Macaca fascicularis: one gene and its partners. The protein of the gene in region 2 purifies or fractionates together with the protein of the main gene of each other region. This does not show direct contact. Links are inferred from orthologs where the notes say so. Each region holds a gene or a part of one and is shown on either strand. Other genes may lie near its edges.

Region 1 (4,288 bases), on a different chromosome or scaffold from region 2:
TAAGAGAATGTCTATAGAAAACAGGGTATGGAGCAAGTTATTTTCCATTCCTTTTGCTTTTTGGAAGTTAAAATACCTAAGCTCTGCAAATATCATTTATTAGGAACAGATAAGGTCCCAGACATTCCTAGATAATAAAAATCAAATGAATGATACAGGTAAGTGTATTTATTGAAGGGTGTGGGTAGAGTGGTCTGGGAAGGCTTCCTTTAATGAAGACAAATTGATTCTATTTACCTCTTCTCACTTCCACTACTAAAGTAACCCTGGGCCTGCAGTTTCCTAACCACTTGACTTTCTTGCCAACAGTCTGTCTCCACTTTCAGCCTTTTATAGATTCATTGGCCCTAAAGCACTGCTTTCCCATACTTCCCTACCCAAGAGGGCAGGGGTCCTCAAGCCCTGGGCCGCGGACCGGTACCAGACAGTGGCCTGTTAGGAACCCAGCCCGATAGCAGGAGGTGAGCGGCGGGCAAGTGCGCATTATCGCCTTGAGCTCGGCCTGCTGTCAGATTAGCGAGTGGCATCAGATTCTCATAGGCACATGAACCCTGTTGTGAACTGCACATGCAAGGGTTGCGGGCTCCCTGTGAGAATGCCTGATGAGCCGAGGTGGAACAGTTTCATCCCGCAACCCACACACACCCCCACCCCCTTTACGGGGACTGTAAAGGTCTTTATAACCCTAGTCCACCTTGTCCAGTTATAGTTCCACCTCTAGCCTTTCAAGGCTTAAACCATGAATGCCCTTGATTTCTCTTGTATTCATCTATCTCCCACCTATACCTTTTTCCTTCCCTTTTTTATTTTTGGCAATATGTGCCCATGGTTTAGAATTTAAAACGAACAGAATATGTAGTGACCCCTACCATAGCACTCCTTTCCATCACACAAGCCTTCAAGGAAACTGAAGTACTTTTGTCTCCCTGGAGGATTCCCTCTGCCTCCCGCCCCATGTGCTTAGCAATTCTGTTCCTGTTGTCTGGATGGCCTTCATAAAGCCCTCACTGGACCAGCATTCTGGCACATAATAGGAACACTTAAAAAGCGAGAGAATGATGCAGTTATACGTAGTGTCTTCCTCTTCTGAACTTTGACAGCACTTTATTTGCAACAAGTTTAGTTGCTCCTGAAGTGCAGGATCTGTGCTGGAAGTACGTGCGTGTTACACAGTGGGGCTCCTCATACACTGCAAAAGGACACATAAACCAAACAGCTACCGCTTGAGAATGACCGAGTGGGTTCTCTGCACAAGAACAAACCAACCAGTCCCTTGTCCGAAAGGCCCTTTCCTTTTCTCTGCTTCGCTGCTCACTCCAGATCCCCGGCTGTCCTCTTCCACAGCAGTTAACCAGCAGTGTACCGAAAAACAGCGACTTGCCTCCAAAAACCCTGCGCGGTCCGCGGCTAGGATAATTTTGTCCCATGCGCTTCCCGTCTCACTAGTCGCGGGCCGGGGCTACGCCGTGTGCGTCCCCGCGCAGCCGCAGTACTGGGCGAGTAGGCGGGGCCGGCTGTTGGCGGCGGTTGGCTTGGCCCGGGAGTCGGATGCACGTGCGGGCGGGGGCAATGCGTCACTGATCGGTGAGGCGCGGCCGAGGGGTCGGCTTTCCTCGCGAGCCTGCGGCTGGGCTCGTTCTCAGTGCCTTCCACCTGGGAGAGACCCTTGGGAGAGAGAGTGTCAGGAAGGTCACCGAGCAGGGGCGGCCCACTGGCCTCCAGGGGCGGAGGAGTTGGCAAGGGGTCAGCGGGCTCCGCCAGAAGGGAAGAATGAGGGGACTGGGGCACTGGACTCCGCGGCTCAGCCTGCGAGAGAGCGCCAGGCTTCCGAAGGGAGAGGGTGGAAGCTGGAGGGGGTGGACCTGTCACTCACGGGACTGAGGGTGCTTTTCTCCCGCTCCCAGGAGGAACGAGGATGAATATGACTCAAGCCCGGGTCCTGGTGGCTGCAGTGGTGGGGTTGGTGGTTGTCCTGCTCTACGCCTCCATCCACAAGATTGAGGAGGGCCACCTGGCTGTGTACTACAGGTGAGCGGCTTGTGCAGTCAGTCAGGGCTCTAGAGAACGTTAAAAGGGTACTCCAGAGTGGAGTCTGGGAAGTTGTTCCCTCTGCAGCGTTCGGGGACGCATGTCCCATCTCTAGGGAAAGCACGGGGGTCGAAGCGGGCTTTTACGGAACACCGTCCAGATGTTGGACAGTTTTAGTGCTATGTTCGTTTTGTTGCAGAGATTAAGTCTCCCTACGGTTATTCCTATACACAGCAAACTCAAATTATTTGTGGAAAAATGAAGAAGGAAGAAAGAAAGTAGTCATTCTACCTCTAACTGAAGAGATGGATAAATTATAGTTTGTCCAACTGTACAGACTTTATGCTGTATAGAAAATTTGGTTCTGTTTATGATTGTTTCTTAGACTTTTTCATTTAAAAGCTTCCAGTGTCTAGTTACGTCTTGTAACACCATGATGACCATGATAGTGGTTATATCCCTGGACATCCAGGGACATAAGCATAACACTGATGGGCCATTCTCCTCCCCCTTTACTGTTTCTGTTCAAGTTGGGGACAGGAGTGGTGTGGGAGCTGTTGCTTTCTTGTTGAGCTCTCATAGCTTTTCCTTCAGCCTAATTACCACAAGTTCCTTTTGATGTAGACTGGTAAGAGAGAGGCCAGTTTGTGAAGAAATTGGGATAATGGTGTATTCAAAAAGAGGGTCAACTTTTTGCTTGCTTCCACTATCCCTCAAAACTGATATTTCTATTTTCAGATCCATCCTGAATCCTAGAAAAAGAACAATTTTAATGGTATATCTTAGCAGATGGAGCTCTAGCATAAGAAATTACAGATTAGTCCAGATTTCCTTCCAGTTTAGCATTGTCTTTCTGGCAGTAAAACCAGAGAAAGGACATTTCAAAGAATGACTCAAAGAATTAGTGATGAACCTCAAACAGTTCATCTTTTCTTGTTATTATGACTTAGCAAACGTGTTTATATTTTCAAGACAGGAAGCTAAGTTCTGTGAATTTACAAGGTGCAAAATAGGACTTCTTTGTTTTATTTGCTCTCCAAATGCCTCCTTTTTTATAATTTCCAGGGCTTGCTTTCATAGTTTTCGCATTCCAGGATTTGGTGAACAGGCCCTTAACCTGTTTATATAGTCTTGTCACTCTTCATCTTTTCATGCTAATTTTTTTTTGTTTTTATATAGAAATTTTATGTTCCCAGTATTTTAATTACCTTGCAGATAGATTGAAAGAACTATAAGCCTCAGAAATTTTCTCTTTACTTCAAAGTTTGCATTGTCTTTTTTCAACCTGGTGATTAAATGTATTATATATTTTGATTTGGCTTTTGTTATGTACAGTTAATGTACCTCTACTGAAAGCCATTAAAATTTTTTAAACAAATATTTCTCAGAAGGTTAAAGACCGAGGAGAATCCTTTGAACCTGAGAGCAGTGCTGGAGATGCAGAGGTACGGTTGGTTGAGCTTATGAAACAAGGTGTAACATTGGCAGTTTAATTTGATCTTTTTACCTTTTTAGGTGTGGAGGTATTTTAAGCAGTTGTTCATTATGAGTAATTCATATTAGTGAGGCTTTGGTAGGTCAGCAGCATGAGCAAGAGTGAGTATTTATTATAGCATTTTAGATTTAGAAAGATAATTTTTGTTTTTATAATTTTGTCAAATTGAAACATCTTTTTGCAGGGGAGGAGCTTTACTAACTAGCCCCAGTGGACCAGGCTATCATATCATGTTGCCTTTCATTACTACATTCAGATCTGTGCAGGTGAGTGATTCCTAGGGAAGCCCCCATACCAGATAGACAGGTGTGACAGGAGTTACCACACTTCTGGGTGGAGATAGATTTCCTTATTGCTTAAGCAGATGGTGGTATTTACTTAAATGCAGGAGTTAACGTTCAGAGTACAGTTGTTACAACACAAGTTACTATGTTAAACCACCTCACTTACTTGAAATGAATTAAAAGTATGAACCAGGTAGCTTGGAAGGACTGACTTCTACCATCTATATTGTGATATGTAGCAAATTTTTTGTTGCTGCTATTGCAATAAAAGTAAGAATTAGGAACACAACTAGACATACAAACCAGTGATTTGATTATGTGGTTTAGAACAGTGTTTGGTTTCCACAGAGGCAGGCTCCTGGGCTACTGTTAACATGGAGGATCAAAAATTTTTTTTTTTTTTTTTTTTTTTTTGAGACGGAGTCTGGCTCTGTCGCCCAGGCTGGAGTGCAGTGGCCGGATCTCAGCTCACTGCAAGCTC
Region 2 (4,285 bases):
AGGGCAGGAAGATGGTCTGATTCACCATTTTATTCCCAGTATCTTGCACAATGCCTGGCAAATAGTGTGTGTGCATATATATATATATATATATATATATATATATATATGCATATATATATTTCAAGACAGAGTCTCACTCTGTTGCCCAGGTTGGAGTGCAGTGGCTCGATCTCAGCTCACTGCAACCTCCACCTCCCACGTTCAAGTGATTCTCCTGCCTCAGCCTCCTGAGTAGCTGGAATTACAGGCACCCTCCACCACATCCAACTAATTTTTGTATTTTTTTTTTTTTAGTAGAGATGGGCTTTTACCATGTTGGCCAGGCTGGTCTCGAACTCCTGACCTCAGTGATCCACCTACCTCGGTCTCCCAAAGTGCCAGGATTACAGACATAAGCCACCGCGCCTGGCCATAGTATATCTTTTAAAAATATGTTAGTAGAATAAATGAATGAACAGGAGGGATGGAACTAGATAGGTTAGTTCTGTATGGTATCAATCTAGACTGACATTCCTAAGGCAATATTTGGGCCACTTGCTCCCACAGTAGGCAAGAACTATGGGAAAACTAGGATAGATTATTTTAAATCAAGACTGGCCTGTAAAAACCAGGATGTGAGATCTCTGTGGCTACAGGAGCCCAGAGGGAAAAATCCACAGATATCCACAGGCCTGGGATTCAATGTCATCCACACAGTAACACACCAGGATCCGATTCCAGAGACCAGCTTTGAGCGGAGGTGAGCAAATAGCTACTGTGTGACATGTACCTTAGTTTTCACACTTTTAAATAAAACATCTAATTTCTTCCTTATGATTGACTTACGACGTATGTTTCAGAAAGGAAGAAATTAATCTTTAGAGAGATTCAATAACCCACCCAAGGTCATATAGCTGAGAAGCACAGGATAAGGGATCAGGATTTGTGCCAGGTTCCAAGGTCTATGCTTCTTCCACAGTCCTGAAAGAGCAAGGTGGAGGAGGGGACCAAGGAAAGGGGCAGCCCTGAGGATGGGTATCCCTGGCCAGCCTAGTGGGACAGCCCATGGATATTGGGCTCTGGGCTGAAGAATTAATTTTGGTGGCCAAAGTGCCTTCTGGCGTCCACTCTGACATAAGGGTAGGGGCCACCTGAGTTCCTCAGAGCCTTCCTCACTGCATCACGAACACGGGTGTTCTGACGTGCTTCAGCTGACGTCGGTGTCTGGTGTGACAGATGCTCTGGCTGTTGGCGGGGGAGGGGGCGGACCCTGCTGCCGCCCAAACCTCTAGCCGGTAGCGCAACCCCCCAAAGCCGTCCCCACCGACCCCTCCGCGATCTGCTGGAGCAGAGAACCGCGGGTGGAGCCCAGCACGTGGGTCCGCAGGGCGGAGGGCGGAGACAGAGCGGCGCCGGACTACAAGTCCCACAATGCCCCGGGCCGCGGCGGCGAGGAAGGAGGGGTGCTTCAGGTGCCTGCGACCTCCGCGCCTCCCGCCCGGAAGTGTCCGAGGGGCCGCGATGGAGCTGGGGCAGCCGGGCGGTGAGTCCCCGCGCCATGACCGCGCCCACCCCGCCGCCCAGGGCCCCGGCCGGGCCCCGCCCGCCCTGCCCTGGATCGCCGTGCCCTCCTGCGGCTCCGGGGGGCGGGAAGGTGGGAGGGGTGATGAGGGGTGGGGGTAGGGAACGTGAAGTCTCGGATTCCGGGCGGGATCTGGGGTCTGGCAGCCCGCGGGGCTTGGAGACACTTCCAGAGAAGGCGTGGAGTTGGGCCTCCGCGGAGTGGGGTTGAGGGGACCGAGCTGGGTGGGTGGTGACGCTCGGAGGCTCCAGATTGCCCAGGGGCGGAGTTTGACGTTTGCTGTGGGGGAAGCCTGGGAAGCAGTCCTGTGCCGCGGGTGGGGTTTAGGTGAACCGTAATGCGGGGGGCGGGGGGTGGGGGCACAGAGGCTCTACCCCCACCTCGGAGAAACTTTAGCAACGGAGTAGATGAGCATGGGGTGAAGTCGGTGAAGGAGTAGACACACTGGGGTGAAGTGGGCAGGAGAATAGATACGCATGGGCGTGAAGTTTGGCTGGGGTGAAGTTTAGGGGAGGCGTTGCTTAGGCCCTTACCTTGGGATAGGGTTTGGGTGAGTTGGGAGCTGGTTGAAGACCTCGAGCTCAGATGACAGAAAGTTAGGACTTGGGATTCGGCGATGGGAAGGGGCACCCGGAGGCAAGTTTGGGGCGACTGGGAGGCAAAGCAGCCCGTACCCTGGGGTGGGTGAGGGAACCCAGGCTGAGGACGGTGGGAGCGTCGCGGTGGGGTGGGGGCAGGACCCTGTGGAGGTTCCAGGGCTCCTGGTCAGAGGGCCCGCGCCTCACGGGCTCTTTGTGCCTCTCCAGCTCGGTAGCGCGGCGGGCAAGGCAGGCGCCATGACCCTGATTGAAGGGGTGGGTGATGAGGTGACCGTCCTTTTCTCGGTGCTTGCCTGCCTTCTGGTGCTGGCCCTCGCCTGGGTCTCAACGCACACCGCTGAGGGCGGGGACCCACTGCCCCAGCCGTCAGGGACCCCAACGCCATCCCAGCCCAGCGCAGCCATGGCAGCTACCGACACCATGAGAGCGGAGGTCCCAGGGGCAGAGACCCCCAGCCTGAGACACAGAGGTCAAGCTGCACAGCCAGAGCCCAGCACGGGGGTCACAGCAACACCACCAGCCCCGGACTCCCCGCAGGAGCCCCTCGTGCTACGGCTGAAATTCCTCAATGATTCAGAGCAGGTGGCCAGGGCCTGGCCCCACGACACCATTGGCTCCTTGAAAAGGTACGTAGGTCAAGAGGCAGGAGCAATGCTGAAGACAGGGGTGGGGGGAGTGGTCACAGAAGGCCCCAGGAGAGACCTAAGACCCAGCCCTCCTTTATACTGGAGGCGCTGAGCGCCCCAGATCACAACTGCACTTGTTCCCTTGGCAGTCTGCCCCTCCCAGGCCAGGGCCGGTGTGTTGTGGAGGGCAGGGGAAGGGTGGGAGTGTTGTTCCGGGGCCAGGGACTAGGATTGCCTGAGGCCTGCTCTCTTACCCAGGTCCCTCTCTCCTCAGGACCCAGTTTCCTGGCCGGGAACAGCAGGTGCGACTCATCTACCAAGGGCAGCTGCTAGGCGACGACACCCAGACCCTGGGCAGCCTTCACCTCCCTCCCAACTGCGTTCTCCACTGCCACGTGTCCACGAGGGTCGGCCCCCCAAATCCCCCCTGCCCGCCGGGGTCCGAGCCCGGCCCCTCCGGGCTGGAAATCGGCAGCCTGCTGCTGCCCCTGCTGCTCCTGCTGCTGCTGCTGCTCTGGTACTGCCAGATCCAGTACCGGCCCTTCTTTCCCCTGACCGCCACTCTGGGCCTGGCCGGCTTCACCCTGCTCCTCAGTCTCCTGGCCTTCGCCATGTACCGCCCGTAGTGCCTCCGCGGGCGTTTGGCAGCGTCGCCGGCCCCTCTGGACCTTGCTCCCCGCGCCGCAGCGGGAGCTGCTGCCTGCCCAGGCCCGTCTCTCCGGCCTGCCTCTTCCCGCTGCCCTGGAGCCCAGCCCTGCGCCGCAGAAGACTCCAGGGGCTGGCAGAGGCCCCGCCCTGCGACCACCGGGGCTCGGGGCCACCTCCCGGGGCTGCTGGCCCTCAGTCCGCACTGGGAGTGGGCTCCTCGGGGTCGGGCATCTGCTGTCGCTGCCTCGGCCCCGGGCAGAGCCCGGCCGCCCCCGGGGCCCGTCTTAGCGTTCTGCCGGAGGACCCAGCCGCCTCCAATCCCTGACAGCTCCTTGGCCTGAGTTGGGGACGCCAGGACGGTGGGAGGCAGGTGAAGGGGAGGGGCATAGGAGTTCCCCGGAACTTGTGCAGATTAAAGTAACTGTGAAGTTTTCACTCTTGCAGTGTGTCTGAGTGTGTGCGGGATGGCGGGCGGGGACTCCTCGCCCCTTGGGAGAGAAGGGCACGGACGGCGCCCTCGGCTCTGGCCCACCGCTTTCCCTTCTCCCCTGCCTTCTGCTCTGGCTTTGGCGCCGGCCTCCGTGGCCCCGCCCCCGGTGCCGCGCGCGCACTTCCCGCGGGCGGAGCTCACGGCTCCCTGGCTCGCAGTGCCTGCCGGGAGCCACGTCTCCGCTGGTCGATAGCTGTTTCGGGATTGGTGTCCGGGCGGCTATCTGGGGGCTGCTGGGAAGATGGCGGACTCGGTGGCCAGCCGATGAGGAGGCCGCGGGGGGAACCCGGCCCCCGGGCCCCGAGACCGACTGAGGGAGCGACCTGCGCAGGGCCCGGGGAGTCATGTAGGGGTGGCG
Region 3 (4,055 bases), on a different chromosome or scaffold from region 2:
AGGCTGAGGCCGAGAATTGCTTGAACCCAAGAGGCGGAGGTTGCAGTGAGCCAAGATCACGCCACTGCACTCCAGCCTGGGCGGCAGTGAGACTCTGTGTCAAAACAAACAAACAAAAACCAAAACTTTTTTTTGGGTGGGCTTGGTGGGTCACACCTGTAATCCCAGCACTTTGGGAGGCTGACGCTGGCAGATTGCTTGAGCTCAAGAGTTCAGACCATAGGCAACATGGATCTACAAAAAACCCTGTCTAGACCGGGCGTTGTGGCTCATTCCTGTAATCCCAGCACTTTGGGAGGCTGAGGCGGGCAGATCACCTAAGGTTGGGAGTTCGAGACCAGCCTCACCAACATGGAGCAACCCAGTCTCTACCAAAAATACAAAATGAGCTGGGCGCGGTGGCGCATGCCTGTAATCCCAGCTACTTGGGAGGCTGAGGCAGGGGAATCGCTTGAACCCGGGAGGCGGAGGTTGCAGAGAGCCGAGATCGCGCTTCTGCACTCCAGCCTGGGTGACGGAGCGAGAATCCGTCTCAAACAAAAAAAACCCAAAAACAGAAACCATAGTATCCTCTTATGTAGGCACAAGGGACTCAATACGTGCCCCTGAAGAGCATTTACTTACTGTTGCCCGAGGGCTACAGGGGCAGGTGCTTGAGTGGGGACGGCCAGATTGTCCTATCGCCAACCTCTGGTGCCAGGGTAGATGGACATCCGGGGAGTCCGGGGAAGGGAAGCAAAACGAGCTGACCAGCTGCGGACTATAAGCAAAAATACGGAACGCTTCACGAATTTGCGTGTCATCCTTGCGCAGGGGCCATGCTAATCTTCTCTGTATCGTTCCAATTTTAGTATATGTGCTGCCGAAGCGAGCACGACCCGAAAGTTCCAGCTACGGTTATTTAAAGGCCTTCAAACTAATTACCTTACAGTTAGGAGAACTTATGGTCAGTCTTATGTTTAGCATAACTTCCTACAGTTGTATATTGCCAAATAAATTCTCTGCTTGCACTTACTTTGAGTGTCTTCCGTCACGCAAAATCCCATATCTTATCAAAATTTTACCGTCTTATACTGGCCTCCTAGACGCGGTGGATTGTGGGTGCAATATGCAAAAGCCGTGGGCCGGATGTAGCCTCGCCCCCTGGCGCAGGCCAGGGCGGGGATGAAGCTTCCCCGGGCGGCCGCTGGTATCCCAGCGTTCCCTGCAGGCGCAGGGGGGCCGCTCTTGCCCGGCGTGGCGACTCGCTAGCGTCAGCAGGGCCGCAGCAGGACGAGGAGGCGGAAGATGGCGGCAGCGGCCGGGCGGCCGTAAGGAGCGCGGCGGCGGTAAGGGCGGCCGATGGCGGCCGGGAGGCGCCCTCGGACACCTGCGGGCCGTTAGGGCGCGACGCTGGGCGGCATGTCGGAGCACGCGGCGCCCGGAGCTCCGGGGCCTGGGCCCAACGGCGGCGGCGGCGGCCCGGCCCCTGCGCGCGGGCCTCGCACCCCCAACCTCAACCCCAACCCCCTCATCAACGTGCGCGACCGGCTGTTCCACGCGCTGTTCTTCAAGATGGCTGTCACCTATTCGCGGCTCTTCCCGCCCGCCTTCCGCCGTCTCTTCGAGTTCTTCGTGTTGCTCAAGGTGACCGCGGCGCCGACCCCCGACCCTTGACCCCAGCGCCCGGCCTGACCCCCATGTCTGCGACCTGCGACTGCGGCCCCTGGCCTCGGTGGGGACACCGAGCGCCACCCTGCACCCCGAGGCCTAGATCCGACTCTACCGGTTAGGGTCCTCCCTCGCGACCTCTGACCCTGGGATTGGCCAGGGACACCGTCTCGTGACCCCATCCCGCCCGGGGACGTACACCCGGGAAGGCCGGTTGCCACTGCACTAGAAGCCGCTGTTCTCTGGAAATCTCCATCTCAGCCCCCTCCAGGGACCATCCTGTCCCCGGCGACCGCCTTTCCCCGGTCCCTATCTACCCAGGCTTGGAGCCCGGTCCTGGCCTGCGACGGAGCACCTCCCGCCCTTTGACCCCTGACTCTGCCGCCTGTGACCCTCAGTCCCGAGGCCTCTTTCCACTCCCCGTGTGCTGGCCCAGAACCCAGTCTGACCCAGGGCTCCCTTGGACCAGCCCCAGCCCTGGAAGTCCACTCCCCACTCTTCCTCCTGGTGGGGCTCTCTCTTGTAGGCTTCCACCTGCCCCCACCTCGTTCCCCTCTCCTGAGCCTCAGGGGAATGTGACTTAGCTGAGGTCACCTCCCTAGGGTTAGCGGTAAAGTCACCGGCAGCAGCGTTCCAGCCCATCCCCGGCCTCCTCCGCTTGGTCCCCACCCCCTTCCTGACCCAGGAGTTCAGGTCTGTCTCCCGTGCCTCCTGTATGAGGCACCGACCTCTGCGTCTTGGCCTCTGTCCCCCTCCTGCCCTTCTCAGATGGCACAGAGGTCTCAGCCGTGCAGTACTGGCCTGAGTCCCTCTGAGAAGGAGTCTGTCTTGGGTGACAGGAGGGGCTCAGCAGCAGGTGCAGCCCCTCAGAAAACAAGTTGGCCGGGGTCCTGGACCACCTGGGGAAATGGAGACATGGCCGTTTTTGTTTTGCATCAGAACACCGCAGTGCTGGGGCTTGGCGGGGTGCTGAACTTGCGCCGTGAGCTTTTTGGAGCTAGTCTGCAGAGAGGGGGCTGACGCTGGCGGGCCAGGCCTGTTGGTCAGGAGCCGGCTGCTCTTTTGGGCTCAGCAGGTGGAGCTGGAGCTTGGCCGTCCTGCAGACCTGCGTGTGGGTCCCAGCCTACCGCCGCCTCAAGGGAGGCCCCTTAGCCTCCAGATCTGTGGCCTCCCCAGGCCAGAGCTCAGCCCGTCATCCTTCCCACCTTCTTCCTCCCTGCAGCCCTCCAGAGTGGCGTGGTTGCCTCTGGGCATCTGAGCAGGACTGTGAAGGGTTACTCGGGCAGGCGGCCTTTCCCTGCTCTGGGGTCCACAGACGGGACCTGAAACTGTGGACGGAGGCTGGTCTGTGGACGTGGGTTTTCCTTCCATGGAGTAGCCTGGGTCCAGGATGGAGCCGCTCTGTCCTTAGCTTTGTGGAGGATGTGTGCTGGGTGCCAGGCCAGGTGCCCCCGACAGAGCTCAGCCTCCCTGGGAGGTGCATCCCTGTTGCCTGGGCTTCCGTCCCACCACGTCCCAGTTTGGAAAGGGATCAAGCCTACCCAACTCTTATCTCCAGGCAGGTACCACTCACAGGTGGTCAGATGGGGCTGGGCCAGAGCTGGAGGTCCCCCCTCTCCTGTGGAGGGTGGAGATTCTGGGGAGGTTCTTAGCGCCCCCCATCCCTCCTCTCTCAGCAGGGGGCTCTGGGCTGCGAGATCTCTGGGTGGTGAATTTTTTTTTTTTTTTTTGAGATGGAGTCTTGCTCTGTCGCCCAGGCTGGAATGCAGTGGCTCAATCTCGGCTCACTGCAACCTCCACCTCCTGGGTTCCAGCAATTCTGGAACTCAGCCTGGAATTCTGCCTCAGCCTCCCGAGTAGCTGGGACTGCAGGCGCCTGCCACCACAACCAGCTACTTTTTTTGTATTTTTGGTAGACATGGGTTTTGCCATGTTGGCCAGGCTGGTCTCAAAACTGATTTCAGGCGACCCGCCCACCTTGGCCTCCAGAAATGCTGGGATTACAGGTGTGAGCCCCCGTGCCCGGCCTGGGTGGGGAAATCGGTTCGTTGTGAATTCTCCACCAGGTAATCTGGTGGTTCAGAATCTGACCTTGCCGCCTTCACTTTTACTTATCTGCAAACTGCAGGCTAGGACTGGCTCTCAGAGGCTGCCTTGAATTCCAGAAGGCTCTTCTGCTTCCTGCCCACCCGGCTTCCGGGGCTCTCCCTGCAGAGAGCCAGGTCCTCCCTGGTGCGGTCCCTTCAAGGTTTCTTCATTCTGTGGCCCCTGTGCCGCTGAGCTCCCAGCCCTGAGCTGGCATGGAGCCCCCCGGCCCTCCCCCATGCCTGGGTGGCTTCACGAAATGCCAGGAGCTCCCAGCCCTGAGCCAGCACGAGGCCCCTCAGCCCCTCACCCTTGCCTGG

The links. Proteins that work in one complex are often made in the same cells at the same time.
Region 1: the proteins of TMUB1 (region 2) and ERLIN1 purify together in Homo sapiens (affinity purification with mass spectrometry; 3 studies listed by BioGRID and IntAct, with this or other methods). This does not show direct contact. The link is inferred for Macaca fascicularis from reciprocal best matches to the Homo sapiens genes TMUB1 and ERLIN1.
Region 3: the proteins of TMUB1 (region 2) and TMEM259 purify together in Homo sapiens (affinity purification with mass spectrometry; 3 studies listed by BioGRID, with this or other methods). This does not show direct contact. The link is inferred for Macaca fascicularis from reciprocal best matches to the Homo sapiens genes TMUB1 and TMEM259.

Annotation. Positions count from the first base shown.
Region 1 is NC_088383.1:109,130,876-109,135,163, reverse strand, and holds the start of ERLIN1 (erlin-1), read left to right. Parts: upstream 1-1,488; 5' UTR 1,489-1,743; intron 1,744-1,904; 5' UTR 1,905-1,915; coding exon 1,916-2,028; intron 2,029-3,707; coding exon 3,708-3,789; intron 3,790-4,288. UniProt on the Homo sapiens protein: Component of the ERLIN1/ERLIN2 complex which mediates the endoplasmic reticulum-associated degradation (ERAD) of inositol 1,4,5-trisphosphate receptors (IP3Rs).
Region 2 is NC_088377.1:192,360,959-192,365,243, reverse strand, and holds TMUB1 (transmembrane and ubiquitin-like domain-containing protein 1), read left to right. Parts: upstream 1-1,485; 5' UTR 1,486-1,540; coding exon 1,541-1,636; intron 1,637-1,687; exon of another isoform or gene 1,688-1,788; intron 1,789-2,370; coding exon 2,371-2,789; intron 2,790-3,063; coding exon 3,064-3,415; 3' UTR 3,416-3,872; downstream 3,873-4,285. Other genes in the region: FASTK (fas-activated serine/threonine kinase), read left to right, coding at 4,192-4,273. UniProt on the Homo sapiens protein: Involved in sterol-regulated ubiquitination and degradation of HMG-CoA reductase HMGCR. Involved in positive regulation of AMPA-selective glutamate receptor GRIA2 recycling to the cell surface.
Region 3 is NC_088393.1:1,587,927-1,591,981, reverse strand, and holds the start of TMEM259 (membralin), read left to right. Parts: upstream 1-1,255; 5' UTR 1,256-1,401; coding exon 1,402-1,626; exon of another isoform or gene 1,627-2,343; intron 2,344-4,055. UniProt on the Homo sapiens protein: May have a role in the ERAD pathway required for clearance of misfolded proteins in the endoplasmic reticulum (ER). Promotes survival of motor neurons, probably by protecting against ER stress.